2 separate regions of the Mus musculus genome follow, and region 1 is reported to be linked to region 2. The links are microRNA targets in miRTarBase. Many come from high-throughput screens and were not tested one by one. Region 2 holds a microRNA gene; the other region holds the end of a gene's coding sequence.

Region 1 (5,000 bases), not on the chromosome of region 2:
GGTGCCTCCACTGGAGGGGCAGCGCTGGGAGTGCCCAAGGCTTTGCATGGTGGCTGTTTTCTTTGATGATGCATAGTCAAAGGTCCAGGGGTTTGAAGCATGGATCCTCAGCACAGAGGAAAAGATCAGATTTGGGACAGTAGAAATGAAGCACATGTGGTGGTAGGGAGACCCTGCTTAGGGAAGAAGCCAAGACCAAAGGTCCAGGAAACTAGATAGTGTCAGGGACGCAAAGGACAAACAGGATCCTGGGGCACCAGAAAACTTCCCAAAGGACTGCAGGCACTTTTCAGCTCCTGTTAGAGAGGCACTAAGGTCACACTCCATGCACCCAGAATCTGAGCAAGGTCTGAAACAGCTGCACACATCCCTGAACTCTGCTCTTTAGCTCTTCCAAATAAGCCATAGTAGTCCAGGGTGATAAGAGGAGCATGCACAACAAAGGCAGCCGCAAGCCAGCTTGGATAACACTATCCCAATGTGATAAACAAGGCACTGTTAGCCATCTTTCCCCGTGTTCACTCTGAGAATATTAAAGCACTGTGAGAGGGCGAGCGGCTTGACCGCCAGTGAGAGAGAAGCCACTGTCTCAGACAAGACAGGTACTTGGGCGGGGCAGTCTCAGGGCGTCCTGCAGTTAGGATCCATCTCTGTTGTGTTAGAATGCTGACAACCTCCCTTTAACTGATTAATGACCTCTGTTTTCCCTTTTATTCCTTAGGGTAGAATGGTTTTGAAGAAGGAAAACACTGCTTTCTGACTGATTGCCTTGAAGGAAAAAAGAACCTATTTTTGTGCATCATTTACCAATCATGCCACACAAGCGTTTATTTTTAGTACATTTTATTTTTTCATAAAATTGCTAATGCCAAAGCTTTGTATTAAAATAAATAAATAATAAAATAAAAGTACCGTGTTGCTAAGTATCCTTCGCCAGCGTGTGTTTCAGAGGCTGATTTTGATACCACATGTATAATGTGCTCATGACTCCATAAGAGGGTAGGGGCAGTGTGGCTGCTCATCTTTACCATGGACTCCTGCGCTGACTGATATGGCAGAGCAAGGACATCCTGTGTGGCAGGCACTGCTCCCTCAGTGCTCAGCTGATTGTCTCTGTTTTCCTTTCAAGGATGCCTGTTCACCTGGCAACCTCTCCTTGCGTCTTCACTGGGATGTTAGCTTCACACCCATAACTTGCAGGTGTTGCTCCCCACTGTGTCTCCCATACCTGGGAGTGTGCTTGGCATGTAGTAAGTGCTCAATAAATTTATTGTAGGATGAAGGAATGAGGTGTTAAGACTTGCAAACCAAGATAGTCCTTTTACTTAGTGTGTATATTACATATTTTTAAAAAATGAACACAAAAGAATTAGCCAAGAGCCATTTTAACATGTGTAAATGAAATATTATTGAAGAAACTGTTGAGCTATTTTGTCATATTGCATGCTTAAAGGATGGTCAATATTTGTAAACTGTAGAGTAGTCAATTCTTGGCCTTTTACATTAAGGTATCTGCACTGTCATGTTTCTATGGGTCTTCATCGGCATTGTAACTGTCACGGGTCTCTTAATTGCAAAACAGTTCGTCACCCCACAAGGAAACCACACACCCACTAACAGAACTTCTCACTCGTGCCAGCCCTGGGGACTGTAAAGCCGCATGTTTCTCTGTACCCATTCTGAGCACTTCCAATGAATGTAGTCTTACAATGTGCAATCTTTTACATCTTGGCCCACAATGTGTTCAAGGATCATCTATGTTGTGTCATGTAGTAATACTTTATTTCTGTAGTAGTATGGTTTATTTTTGTATGCTATTTTTGCAAGTTTGCTGAATTTAACTAACCTTTAGAATTCTTTAGGATTTTCTATGTACACGATCATGTCATTTGAGTCTAGGGGTCTTTTATGTCTCCTTATAGTCTGTTTTACTTTCTTGCTTGTTCATCCTTAGGTAGACAGTGACTATAAAAGATATAAACTAACTTCCATGTTTTATTACAATCTCCATGGTAGAAGGGAGAATTCAGTTGGTCAGCAGTGAGTGGGAAGTCGCTATAGGATTTTCTTACTCTCCATCAACTTGAGAAAGTAATCTGTCCGTAGGTTACGAGATGCTTTTACCCCGAAACTTTTAGATGGTGTCACGTTTCCCTGTACCTATTACACTGATCTTGTGGCATTTTGTCCCATATTAACATAGTATATATTGATTTTTTTTTTTTGAGACAGGATTTGGCAATGCAGTTCAGAATGACCTCAGACCTACAATTCTCTCAAGGTCTGTTGCAGCCAAGGCAAATCCCAGTGATTACACTTTTTCCATGCTCTGAACCAGCCTCACATTCCTAGGGTAATCTCACTCACAGAGTGTGTCGTTGCAGTGTGCTAGGACTGTCAGACGACTTCTTTAGTTTGTAAGATAAGCTTGGCTCTTTGCTCCGCTTTGGCATCGTTGTAAACGCTGATCTCACCAGCTCTGCCCTCTGTGTTAGGAAGAGTACAAGGGCCGATGGTCCTTCAGATGCTGAGAACCCACATGGTCCAGGCTCCTCTTCCTAGGAAGTTTCGGGTTTCTCTAGTGTGCTCCTGCACTTGTTAGGGTTCCTGCAATTGTTGGGGCTCACTTGCTCACCCCTCAACCTCTCATCCTCTCTCATGGCTCTGGTGGTCCTGGCACTGTGAACTTGACCAGGCTGAACCCACACCTGCCGCCTCCAAATGCTCCACTACAGATGTGCACCACCTGCCACACACAGCTGGCTGTTTTCCTCTCTAAAGTGAAAGATTAGGTTATTGATCTGAGGTCTTTGGGGAGTTTTTGGTATTTTGGGGGTTTTGTTGTTGTTTTATCTGGGAACAGTCTGTATGTGCCAGGCTGGACTGGAACTCATAAGCTCAGTGAACCTTACACTCAGTATCCTCAGTAGGCAGGTTTTGCATGCTTGGCTTCTTTTTAAAGTATAGGTGCTTATAGCCAAAAGTCTCCCTCTGAGTTCTGTCTCTTCTAGCCATACTTCTTTCTATTTACTGATTTCTTCTTCCCCCTGTGATTTCTTCAACACACTGATTATTTGGCAGTTATAGTCTTTAAACCCTATGTATTTATAGATTTTTTTTCCCAGTCTGTTACAAATTTCCAATTTTGTTTTAAATTCTTCCAGATACCTTGGTTGGTTGGTTGAAATAGGTGGAGAGCTTTCGTGCCTTTTACCCTGTTTACTGTACCAAAGCTTCATTACTAGCCCATCAGTCGCAGAGGGCGCTCAGCGCGCACCTGGGAGGATGCTGCTGTTGCTAGGCACAGTGCTGTGTGAGTGTCTGCTGTGTCGAATTGGTTAATGTGTTCAGTTCTCTTTTCCTTGCTTCTCTTCTGTCCCTTCTGCCCGTCATAGACTGTGAGCACTGACTCTTCACCGACTGTTGTTAAAATCCTCTGCTTCTCCCTATGTGTAGGTTTTACACACATAGGCTTGCATATTGGGTCATGCCATGCACATGGAATCAGAGAAATGTTTAAGCCACAGTTTGCTCTTTGCATTCCTACACACTGAGCTTCACTGGTTGGGGACCCTTAGTGGCACAGCTGTCAGCTGACCTTTGATAGCTTCCTCAGTATAGTTTGGTGAATTAGTAGCATGGTCCCTGCCACCTCATCTTATTCCAGTGGAATCAAAGTGATTCTGCCTCCGCTGTTCCCTCTCATTTGTGATCAGCTGTTGCTTTCAAAATAGTCATCAGAAAATGGAGGAACTCAAACAGCAGTGTTGCTGTTTCTGCTTGTTTAATGTAGCTCCTCTCTCCACAGAGTCTCCGTCTTTAGCATCACATACTGCTTCTCTAAAAATTAGTACTATTAAATATTTTTGCAAGAAATAAAGCATAATTTTTGGCAAGAACTAAAAGATAAAAAGGAATAAAGTTATAGGTTACGACTGGAAGTGTAGGTCATCAGTAACTGAGATAAGAATGTGGTATTTTGTATCTTAGATATTTAACTGTTTTCGTGTTCTAATTGTGATCTCAGTAACCAAGAAAGTGTGTGTGTGTGTGTGTGTGTGTGTGTGTGTGTTGTGTATTAAAATGTGTTTTTTGTTCCTTTGGGCCCAATACAGAATTAGCATCAAAATAAAATTGTTTATTTTTTATTAGTCAGGATATGCATAGTTAATATATAAAATTGAATAATTTTTTCACGTAGTATTTTAAAACTTAGAATGTGACCATGTTTAGGCTGATGTGGGTATTTCAGCTCTAAATCCTTGGGGAAGAACATACAGTTGTTTTCACTTTAGGGTTTTGTTTTTTGTTTTTTAAACCAAAAATAAATGTTTTAAAGACTACTTTGTGTCACAGAAGCTCTGGCATCAGTGGATTCAGAGTTGGGAGGTGTGTCTAAAGAGGAACTTGCAGAGTCTCCTGGTCCTGTGTCAGGCCAAAGGCAGCTGCAGCCACTAAGCCTGAGCAAGCCTCATTTCCCTTTGGCCAGCAACTTTCGAGCTTTAGACTTTTTAAATAGCAGAGAAAAGATTCCCAAGTGCCCTTCCCTGTTTTCCTTTGCAGTTGTTTGGTTTTACTATAGTAAATTCCTTATCCAGAGTTTAAGAATTGGACTTAACAGCAGCAGACAACTCAGAAACTGAGCCTTGACTGCCTTCTCACTCGCTCTGCTTATGTTGGGTGTGAATGTGCTGCAGCCCGGCTTGGGTCGGGGACAAGCAGCAGAAGCCTGTGGCACTAGGTTCCTGTCCAGGCAAAGTAAACTGAGCCTGCACCATCTCAGCGTTTTCCCTGCGCCACAGCTAAAGCTGGCCTGTGACCCAGTGTCCACTTTATGTTGATTTGATCTGCATTAGAATGTGCAGCAGGCAAGCATGAGACCCTGCCTGACTCACTGAGCTTCCTGCAGCCCCAGACTCCTCACCAATGTATATAGGCTACTGTAGCAGCATATAGGACTTGGGAGATTTGAAAAATTGTGTTAGTGAAGGTGCCTGGCT
Region 2 (10,691 bases):
CACCAGCACCTTGGGCTCTTGGATCTCCAGGACCAACCCCCTCCTCGGGAGAACAGTCTCCCTGAAGCCATCGTCTGGAAGAAAAGGAAGGTGACATACCACTAGCCCTCAGGCAGCTCTGCCTCTGCACTGTCTCCCAGTTCTGCACTTGGAGCTGCTGAACCATCAAGCGGCAGGGCGGTGGCTGACCCGGATGTGGGTCAAAGGGCACCACACCTTCCGAATGTTCACCTGTTATCTTGGGGAGTTGCTGTGGGTTTGGGGTGTGGACACACTGGAGGAGAAGGCACAGCAGCTGCTGTTGTGAGCTCTGGTCCCCAGAGTTGTGTGCAAAGGGAAACTTGAAGTCCTGAGATATCTGGGACAGACCCTCCAGGTCCATCCATTTGCCTAGGAATTTCATAAATTCATTCTTTTTAATAGCTGAGTAATACTCCATTGTGTAAATATACCACATTTTCTGTATCCATTCCTCTGTTGAGGGGCATCTGGGTTCTTTCCAGCTTCTGGCTATTATAAATAAGGCTGCTATGAACATAGTGGAGCAGACCTGGAGGGCATCATCCTGAGTGAAGTAACCCAATCACAAAAGAACTCGCACAATATGTACTCACTGATAAGTGGATATTAGCCCAGAAATTTAGAATACCCAAGATATAAGATACAATTTGCTAAACGCATGAAACTCAAGAAGAACGAAGACCAAAGTGTGGACACTTTGCCCCTTAGAATTGGGAACAAAACACCCATGGAAGGAGTTACAGAGACAAAGTTTGGAGCTGAGACGAAAGGATTGACCATCTAGAGACTGCCATATCCGGAGATCCGTCCCATAATCAGCTTCCAAATGCTGACACCATTGCATACACTAGCAAGATTTTGCTGAAAGGACCCAGATATGGCTGTCTCTTGTGAGACTATGCCGGGGCCTGGCAAACACAGAAGTGGATGCTCACAGTCAGCTATTGGATGGATCACAGGGCCCCCAATGGAGGAGCTAGAGAAAGTACCCAAGGAGCTGAAGGGATCTGCAACCCTATAGGTGGAACAACAATATGAACTAACCAATACCCGCCTGGAGCTCCTGTCTCTAGCTGCATATGAATCAGAAGATGGCCTTGTCGGCCATCAGTGGAAAGAGAGGCCCATTGGTCTTGCAAACTTTATATGCCTCAGTACAGGGGAATGTCAGGGCCAAGAAGTGGGAGTGGGTGGGTAGGGGAGTAGGTGGGGGAGCGTGTGGGGGACTTTTGGGATAGCATTGGAAATGTAAATGAAATAAATACCCAATTAAAATTAAAAGTGAAAAAAAAATAAAATTAGCAAATGATTAGCTCAAAAAAATTTATATTTGCCTAGCGAGAGCTTAGCAGATAAGGAGTTAAGAGCGTTTATTTCTTGCCAGGTGACAGGGGCTTACGTCGTTAATACTAGTACTTGGGAGGCAGAGGCAGGTAGATCTATGTGAGTTCAAGGCCAAACTGGTTTACAGAATGACTTCCAGGACAGCCAGTGTTACATTCACAGGGCAACTCACAACTTCCTATAACTCTAGGCTCAGAGGACTCATTGGCCTCTCCGGTCTCTGTAGACAGCAGCACACAAATGGTCCAGATAAACTCACACATACAAATAAATAAGGTGTTGCAGGATATATGATCACACTGTGAACCCCACGATTGGGTTATTTACTGAAAAATCTGTTTCCAGTTATAGTGTGGCTCGGTTCTTAGCTCACACCTTTAATCCCTCTGGCTGGATTAAGTACATAGGCCCTTAGCACACACCTTTAATCCCAAACAATGAAGGTAAAGTTAGTTTGTAGAAGGAAGCACCCATGTTTGAAAGTGGCTTCTAATTGAGTAGCAGACAAAGTGATGAATCAGAAAAAGATTTGACAGAATAGCCAACGAGACAGGCCAGATTGAATCAGTTAGCTTTGAGACGCGTTTGAGCCAGAGCAGCTGAGTTGAACCAGCCTGAGTTCAGAAAGAACTAGAAAGGATGAGCTTATTCAGCAGCAAGTCTCAGAGGCTGAAAACACTCTAGGCCTCGGTGAGATTATAGAGTCAAGAAAATTCTAGGACTAAGTCAGCAGATGGAGACAGAAAGCCATGAAGACAACAATTACAACAGGCAAATACAAGTTACTTTTACAACAAGTAAATTAAATCTTTAAATTACACTGAACTTTTGTTTGGAGGTCAGAGGACAATTTTCAGGCATCAGTTCTATGTGTTAACTCAGGTTATCAGGCATGGCAGCAAGCCATTACCTGCTGAACCATCTCACCAGTCTGTAAGAGGTTATCTTAGACAAACAAGCTGGTGAGATGGGGACTTGCCACTTGAACTCAGACACTTCTGTTCCATCTTGGACACACATCCACTAATAGTAAAATTTAAAACCACAAACAAAAATAGTACTGGGGATGTAGCTGAGTTGGTAGAGCACTTGCCTAGCACACGTGACTCTGGGTTCCATCCCCAGCACTACAAGAATAAAGCCAAAGTGAGTGTGTGCATGTGCACCTGTGATACCAGCAGTCTGGAAGCAGAGGCAGGAGGATCAGACAGTCTAGATCATTATCTGCTACATACTAACTCTGAGGCCAGCCTGAGACACATACCATCTTAAACACAAAACAATGAAAGTATAGACACATATAAGCCACAGTCAAAGATTCTAGACCAATGGGCTCAGAGACACTGCTGAGCTAGCAGGAAGTTGGGGGAGAGTTGGTGTCCAGGATTCCAGCATGAGCTATGAACCGCAAGAGAAATTTGTTAGACACTGGGTTGGAGAGAAGGTTTGCTGGTTAAGAAAGAGCACACATTGTTCTTGTAGAGGACTGGAGTTCATTCCCAGTACCATGTCAGGCAGACATAACTGCTCTAGGAGATACGTAACATCTCTGTCCTCCTATGCAGACATACACACAGACAAACAACAAATAATACAAGAAGTTGGGTTGGGGGTGGCTCCGTGGGTAAAGCACTGCTGCACAAGCCTGGAGACCTGAGTTCAGATCCCCAGACTCATGTATGAGTCACGTGTTCAATCCCAATACACCTACAGGAGATGCGAGGTAGAGACAGAGGAGTCTCTGCAAGCCCCGTGGTCAGCTGGCCTGGCTTACGCAGTGGTGAAGAAACTGTCTTAAACGAGGTGCAAAGTAGGCCCGACTTCTGAGAATTGCTCTCTTTGGCATGCACTGAGGCATAAATACCCAGAGGGGTCTGTGTCTAACAGAGAGAGAGGGAGAGGGAGGGGGAGACATGGGGAGGGGGAGAGGGAGACAGAGACGAAGAGACTAATTGGTTGGATAGAGGTTGCGGGTTGTTGAGCACTTCACACCCAAGGCCTGTCTGCCACCTTCCTACCTGAGCCATGTCACAGTCAGCTGGGGCCTTTGAAAGAGGCCTGCTCTCCAGTAGCCTGCTTTTAGGCTACAGGGCTAGAGCTGGCCAGTGGGGTGCTGCCCTCTACTGCATACAGAAGGAGCTGCAGGGGAACCTGGCTGCTGGGTAACTGCCTCCCACCCAAATCCAAAAGCCCTCCAGAGTTGGGCAGCTGGAAGTGGTGGAACACACTTGCAATCCCAGCACTGAGGTTGAGATGGGTTTGCTTCAGGTTCAAGGCCACCCTGGGCTATGAGGAATAATACAGTGATACCTCCCTATCTCAAAAAACCTGAAAATCAAAAAACTTGAAAGTGAGGGTCACATCTTAGGGGCAGCAGGGAAAAGTAGGACAACTGTCACATGACTGGTCACAGGCTACTGCCACAGGAAAGGGCTGGCAGTTCCTGTGGATGGCCTGTGCTTCCTCTCTGATTCCATGCTTCTGGCTTGATCCTTAGAGCCTGTGTGACCTTCCTGGTGGTCTTCCCCCAAGGTGGGCCTGACTCACAGGGTCATAGCCCTTGAGCCCCAAACCGTTCCTAGGATCAGAACTCCTGCCTCACCCTCTGCCCTATTGTCACTGTGCTCCCCCCACCCCCTGGGGGGCTGCTGGAGCACTGACCCTGTACTGTGACCCCTGTCATAGAACCATGGAGGCTAAAGGAAGCAGCTGACACACAGATATCTCCCGGCCAGTTGCAGCTTTCCATCCTGGAGCAGCTTGCTTCATCCTGAGATAGGGTCAGAGAGCTCAGGTTAGCCCAGGGCTTACTATGCAGGTGAAGATGACCTTGAACTTGGGAATCCTTCTGACTCAGCCTCTGAGGGCTTTGCTAGGGCAGTAAGTGCACTGTCACCACATGCCCAATCCCAGCAGCTGTCCTGGTAACCCACTCCAGCTCTTGCCCACTTCTGTCCCAGGTGTGGGTCCCCTTTCTGCCTGCTACAGCTGCCAGGAATACCACCAGTCCGTACAAGCAGCAGGCTTGCTGCTAGGGCTCAGAGTGATGTTTATTCTGACGGCTAATGTACCCTACCAGGCAGCACGAACTGGCTTTAACAGCAAGTCACAGGCTCAGTCTCCTAAAAAATACTTTATTTGTTTTCATTGTCAGACAAGGTCTTGCTTTGTAGCCCAACCTAGCCTGGAACTTGTGATCCTCCTGCCTCAGCTTCCTGAGTACAGACGTGAATTTATTAGACATTTCAGAACTTCTTAGACATCGGCTCTGCAGTCACAGCAAACGAGGTGCAATCTCAATGGTGTTAATGCGGAGGATGGTCTGAGGGTTCACAATGACTGAAAGAGAGAACCTTGTCACGGGCTCAGTCTCATGTCCTTCAGACAGCAGTCTCGGGGCTCAGGTCAGTGCATTCTGCCTGGCTGCCAGCCTGGTCCCTTTTTCCTACTGTTTCTGTGATGTGGACTGACTGCCTCACTCACCGCATAGGCTCCACCCTCAGTGGCCTAAGGTTCAGGGTCTGCTCCCACAACCACACTGGCCCCAAGGCTTCCAAGGCGGGGTGGGCCTAGTCACTCTGAGTGAGGGATTGGGGAGGCTCCCCTTTAACACAGATTGTGGTTAGGTACTGTGGCTACTGACTGGGGTAGGTACGTGAAACTACATCTCACTGTCCAGGACTGCTTCACAATTGCCGCTGTTATTATTTTTGAGGGGATATGAGGGAGCCAACTAAAAATATTTGTTTAATTTGCATTTATTTTGTGTGTGCATGCAAGTTGTCACAGTGTGTCTGTGTGTGTCCACATGCAAGTGCTTATCAGAGGACAACTCGGGAGAAACTAGTTCTTTCCTTCAACTCTGTGGGTTCTGGTGTCAGCAGGTGTCTTCACCTGCCAGGCCATCCAATCGTCCTGGGCCTGGCTGGAGACAGGATCTTGCTTTGCTGTCCAGGTGGCTGGGAACCCTGCCTCAGCCTCCTCAGTGTGAGCACTAGACCTGGCCTTATCTGCTGCGATGTCACTCCCAGAGTCAGGCTCTGTAGCCATTTTGTGGTCCTGGACCCTGCCCTAGGGCCCCTCTGTTTTGCAGGGATTGACTGGCATTCTCTGGCCCTCTCACTGTTCATGGCTCACCTACTGCTTTGAGGATGTCAGATGTCTATGTCAGAACAAAGCAGGTAATAGGGAACAGGCCACACCTATTAGGGCCTCGTAATTAGGTGTTCCCTCAGGAAAGGGAGATCGACTCAGGGGCAAGGACACTGGTGTTCCCTCCGACCGTCCATGCTCCACCTAGCCTTGGCACCACACTTACCATCTGGCACTGCCCACCCATGGCTTCCACCACCACAGGGGATTCTTGCCTAGCCAGACCAACCACTGAAAAGGGAAGCAGTGCCCTGAGAAGTCACCCTTAGACTTCACCTGCCCTGTCCACAGGTCAGCAGCCTCATGACCCCACTCCTCCCAGCTGACATTGAAGCCCAGCTTGTAGCCTTCTCCTGTGGGTACTAGGCACTGTGACCTCACCCCCAGATACCCCTAAGCTGGCTCTTCCCCCAGCTTCTCTCCTTGCACTGGCTCCAGGGCGTTTTCAGCATCCTCAGGTTCCAGCCTGATGAGCCTCCTTAAAAGTCAGCCAGCTGGCCACGGCCTGACCACTCAGAGGATATTTGTATTTGGCACTTCCATGACACTGCTGGGGCCTACTAAAGGGCTAATGCAGGCAGCATCATCAGAAGGGAGGATGCGGACTGCCTGGTCTGACCAAGTGATTTCAAAGAGCACAGCTGGCTCCCCCACTTCCTGCAGAGGCCATGAACCTGTTCCTGAGCATCTAATCATGTCTCCCTTTGAATTATCTGTGACGTCATATGCACAAACACATGTGCTGACAACAGAGGCTGCCTGCCTTGTTGCTACCTCAGCCTGACTTGTGCAGAGTGTGAACTATTCCCAGCACATGTGGGAGCTGCTTCCAGTTTTCCAAGACAATCTAATATGCCACTGCTGTCCCCCAGTGTCTCAAGGTGGGTGCCATGCTGGGTTCACAGCTCTATGTGGCCTGCATGTTGCAGTGGGGCAGTGTGAGTCATCCTGGGCCCTTATCCAGCACAATGCTGGCACAATACCACCCTGGCATTGCCCAGCTACTTGGCAGGGAACATGGGCACAACCACGGTGTGCTGGGAGCACAGGGCCCCAATACACTGTCTCATACTTACTTTTTTTCTTCCTGAAGTTTTTCCTTTTCCTAAATTTCATGTTGATTTTGGGCCATGATTCTGTCTTTTCAATGACTGTGGCTTCAACTCGTACAAGCTCCTTTCTAGAAAGACAGGAAAGAAAGTACACTGTGACAGTGCTCCTCCTTCATTGCCTTTCAGTTTCACGCACAACTTGCGGAAGCTCCCCAGAGAATTCCTGGTTCTGCAGTGGGGTCTCATGCAGCCCAGACCAACCTTAAATTCTCTTTACATCCAAGGAATAAACTGACCTCTGACCCTCCTACCTCTGCTTCCTGTGTAGGGTCAATAGCTATGTGCCCCACATATGGGTCATTCATTTTGAAAACAGTGAGAAAACATAATGAAGAGTATTTAAAAAATCTTTTAGTCAGGAGTGACCACTGATGCCAGTATCTAGGAGGTAGGGGCAGGAGGATGGCCACAAATTCAAGGTAAGCCTAGTACACATTGTGAGTTCTAGTCTAACCTGGGCTACACAATTAAACTCTGGCTCAAAAACCAAAACAAAACAGAAACAAAAAACCAACAAAGAAAAAAAAATTTTTTCAATTAACTTTGTAGTGTTGAGAACACAATCCCAGGGCCTCAAACTTAACAAGTAGGCACTCTATCTCTGAGTGGAATCACCAGCCCTTAAGACTACACTGGCTGCCAGCTATGGTGGGACATGCCTTTAATCCCAGCCCCCAGGCGGCAGAGGCAGGTGGGTCTCCTGTGAGTTCAAGGCCAGCCTGGTCTACATAATAAATTCCAGGACAGCCAGGGCTACATAGAAAGACCCTGTCTCAAGAAGCAGGAAGAAAGAAAGAAAGAAAGAAAGAAAGAAAGAAAGAAAGAAAGAAAGAAAGAGAGAAAGAAAGAAAGAAAGAAAGAAAGGAAGAAAGGAAAGAAGAGACGAGACGAGACGAGAAGAGAAGAGAAGAAAAATATATTACAATGGATTAGTGACTGACTAGTCTCCTAGCTGGGTGTCTCCTGGGACACCAAACACCCTCCAGAATTGTAAGAAAGGTGTTGCATTTAACTCTTTTTTTTTTTGTTTTTGTTTTTTGTTTTTTGAGACAGGGTTTCTCTGTGTAACAACCCTGGCTGTCCTGGAACTCACTTTGTAGACCAGGCTGGCCTTGAACTCAGAAATCCGCCTCTCTCTACCTCCCAAGTGCTGGGATTAAAGGCATGTGCCACCATGCCCGGCTGCATTTAACTCTTAGAATGATGTTGAACAATCCCCATTGGGCCTGACCACACCGTGTCTAGCCTGTGAGCCAGCCCAGCCCTGGACCAAGCCCAGGGTTTGAAGCTTATTACCGGAGGAGTGGCTTGCCCAGGAGTGTGAAGTTGTCTGCCCCAACCAGCAGGACCTGAGAAGATAAAATATAGCATATTTAATCCCTGACTCTTCACCAAGGGAGCAGGTGATGCCTACATGCCGGGACTGGATGGGAAATGGAAAACACAGAAAGCTTCAAGACCCACAGTGGAGGGAGAGAAATGACCTCTGTAAGCTCTCCGACCTCCACTACCCACGGGAGAGGTAGATGCTGGAGGATCAGGAGCAGTCTGGTCTTCACGGCAAGTCTGAGGCTAGCCTCGGGTACAATACAGGAGACCTTGTCTCAAATAAAAACAATCAGACTAAACTGCTTTGGCGGCCATCAGTGCTACCACCCACATCTGTATTATGTATTATCACATCTGTATTATGTATTATCACATCTGTATTATGTATTATCACATCTGTATTATGCTGCTGGGACTTCCCAGCCTCCCCTACAATAGCAGCTGCTAGAAATCTCCCTTCGAGCTCTCTGGCAGCTTATGTCTGTGATCGAGGATATGGAGACACAGCTCAGCTCCACTGTCTTCCTCTAGTCCTAGTCTTCCTTTTGCTCTGCCTTATGCAGAGTCCAACCCTGCCTCCCACCCGCTGGCCGTGAGTCCTTTTTTCAGCACAGCTGAGAAAACCCTCAGCCATGCTCACTAGGTGCCAGAGTCCCTGAGTCCACAACACAACGTGCACCTCACCTTCTCCAGCCGAATCCTCTCTCCACACTTGATATCCAACTCATTTTCAATTAGAATCAGGTCCTCTGCGGTCACCTTCCATTGGTGGCTGGCAAAGTGCACGACAGCAAAGAGCCGGCCATACTGGCCCGTGGCGATCAGCTCATTCACCCTCTTCACAACCTCTGCAGGACAGTGGGTGGCAATCACTGCACAGGCACCAGGCTCCCTTGGGAGGACTGCTCCTGCAGTCTGTCCAGCCCTGCTTACCCAGCCAGTAGGGAGGTGCTGGCTTGGGCTGGGGCTCTCAGGAGCACTGGCAGGAAGTGTTACTTCTGCAGTTCTGGAGCAGAACCCTCATCCTGTTTGCTTTTTTTTTTTTTTTCCTTTTAAATCAATTAAGACCCAGTGCACAAGCAGAACATGATGGTGCATGCCCATAATCCCAGCATTTGGGAGGCTGAAGCGGGATGGCAGTGAGTCTAGCCTGGACTACATCCCAGGGCAAGAAGTGTGCAGTCTAAGAAGTGAGAGGACGGTCTTTCTGCAGTCTGAGGAGCCTGATTCTGTGTCCCTGAGCTGGCAGGGCCTCCTGACCACCCTGCACCCCAGCACCTTCCCTGTTCCCACGGGACCCACCTTCTCTCCACATTCCATCTCTGGCAGGCCCACCTGCCCTCCTTCCACACCCGTTCCCTGTTCCCATTACCACTACTCTGGCTCATGTCACAGTCCTTAGCTCTCAATTTTGTCCACATAGACCCCACCCCTGGGCCAAGGGCTGGACACACAGGACAGACATAACAATTCCTGCTCTGGATAAGGCCAAGGCCAGAAGCAGCTCCTGGCATCCCAGTGAAGGCTCCAGATGATGCACCAAACATGCAGACCTCTCCTGTGGTGGTGCCCTGCACAGTGAGTGAGCACTGACAGTCAGCAAGTGGTCCAGATAGGACACGCAGGGCCTATACATACAGCCTGCATACCACCACTGCCACCCCTCATCATCACATTCGTGGGTTCTGATAGCTATGGCAAGCCCTCCAACCGATCCCAGACCTCCAGGAGTGACTATACTTAGCCTGAACAGGAGCTTAAACAGTATTCTAAAATAACAGAGGATTCCCGGGAATGATGGGAACTTCGAGCTTCTGGGAAGCTGAGACATGACTCTTTAGCTGGCAACAGCTGTGCTGCCTTTTCCTGACATGTAGCCCAGGCTGGACATGACTTGTGGTGCTCCCAATTGAGTACTGGGATGACGGGGTTGGACTGATACATAACATAGCTGGAGATGGAGGTGCATGCATTATCCCTCCCATCACCTGACTGCCTCGTGGCAGATGCTGGAGAGCTGTTTATCAAGAGAAGATTCATCATAAATGTTGGTGTTTACCAACCAAAGTGAATGTGAGGTCTCACGTGTGCTGGGGTTCCAAGCACTCAGAAACCTGCTGCCTTGCCCTGTGGCAATGTACCTCAGTGACCTGTGGGAATGGACACTCAGCGCTACCCATTCATTTCCCTTTTTATTTTAACTTTTTTGAGATAGAGTCTCACTTTGTAGCCTAGGCTGGCCTCAAACTCTCAGCAATCCCCCTGCCTAGGCCTCTCAAGTGCTAGGGCTACAAAGGCCTCCCTGCCCAGCTCCTGTTAAGTCTTACCCGCATGGTGTCTCGTCTCTTCAACAGGGTCCGGCAGAACCACTTCTTGCCAGGGTGGTGAGCTCAGGGAGGTCTTAGGAACATATCTGCAAAGCGGTTTCATAAGCACACATCACATGCCCAGGAAAGGCAGCCTCAACTCCCCAACAGCAGCCGTGTGCAAGCACCAGGAGGCTGTGCAAGCTTGCTATGGAGGGGCATAAAACCCACAACACTAACGCTACCTCTACATCACTGTGAATACACACATGCATTACTTCTGTTGGGACAGAATTCTATGTATGCATGCATGCATGTGTACACATTTATGCTGAAGGAGGAACCCAAGGCCTCAAGTATGTTGGCCAAACGTGCTATCACTGAGCTATATAGAAAAATTGTTATTTTATTTTAAAGACAAGGTTTT

The links. The annotated mature microRNA mmu-miR-6984-3p reads UACUUUCUUUCCUGUCUUUCU and lies in region 2 at 6,700-6,720, opposite strand. An mRNA with a match to its seed (bases 2 to 7 or 8) in the 3' UTR can be bound and repressed. Matches are read on the target gene's strand: a 7mer-m8 pairs with bases 2 to 8, a 7mer-A1 pairs with bases 2 to 7 and ends in A, and an 8mer does both.
Region 1: miRTarBase lists Rnf130 as a target of mmu-miR-6984-3p. The part of its 3' UTR that is shown has no 7-base or 8-base seed match.

The regions. Positions count from the first base shown.
Region 1 is chr11:50,103,828-50,108,827 of GRCm38, forward strand. It overlaps Rnf130 (ring finger protein 130), which reads left to right. Exons shown (of 9, transcript NM_021540.4): 9 at 722-932. The coding sequence ends at 737. Among named protein-coding and RNA genes, the nearest start is that of Tbc1d9b, 25 kb to the right of the region's middle.
Region 2 is chr19:3,284,990-3,295,680 of GRCm38, reverse strand. It overlaps Mir6984 (microRNA 6984), which reads right to left and starts at 6,761; the gene lies at 6,698-6,761. It overlaps Mrpl21 (mitochondrial ribosomal protein L21), which reads right to left. Exons shown (of 7, transcript NM_001347420.2): 3 at 10,286-10,371; 4 at 8,643-8,806; 5 at 7,926-7,978; 6 at 6,594-6,697; 7 at 4,480-4,704. The coding sequence ends at 4,640.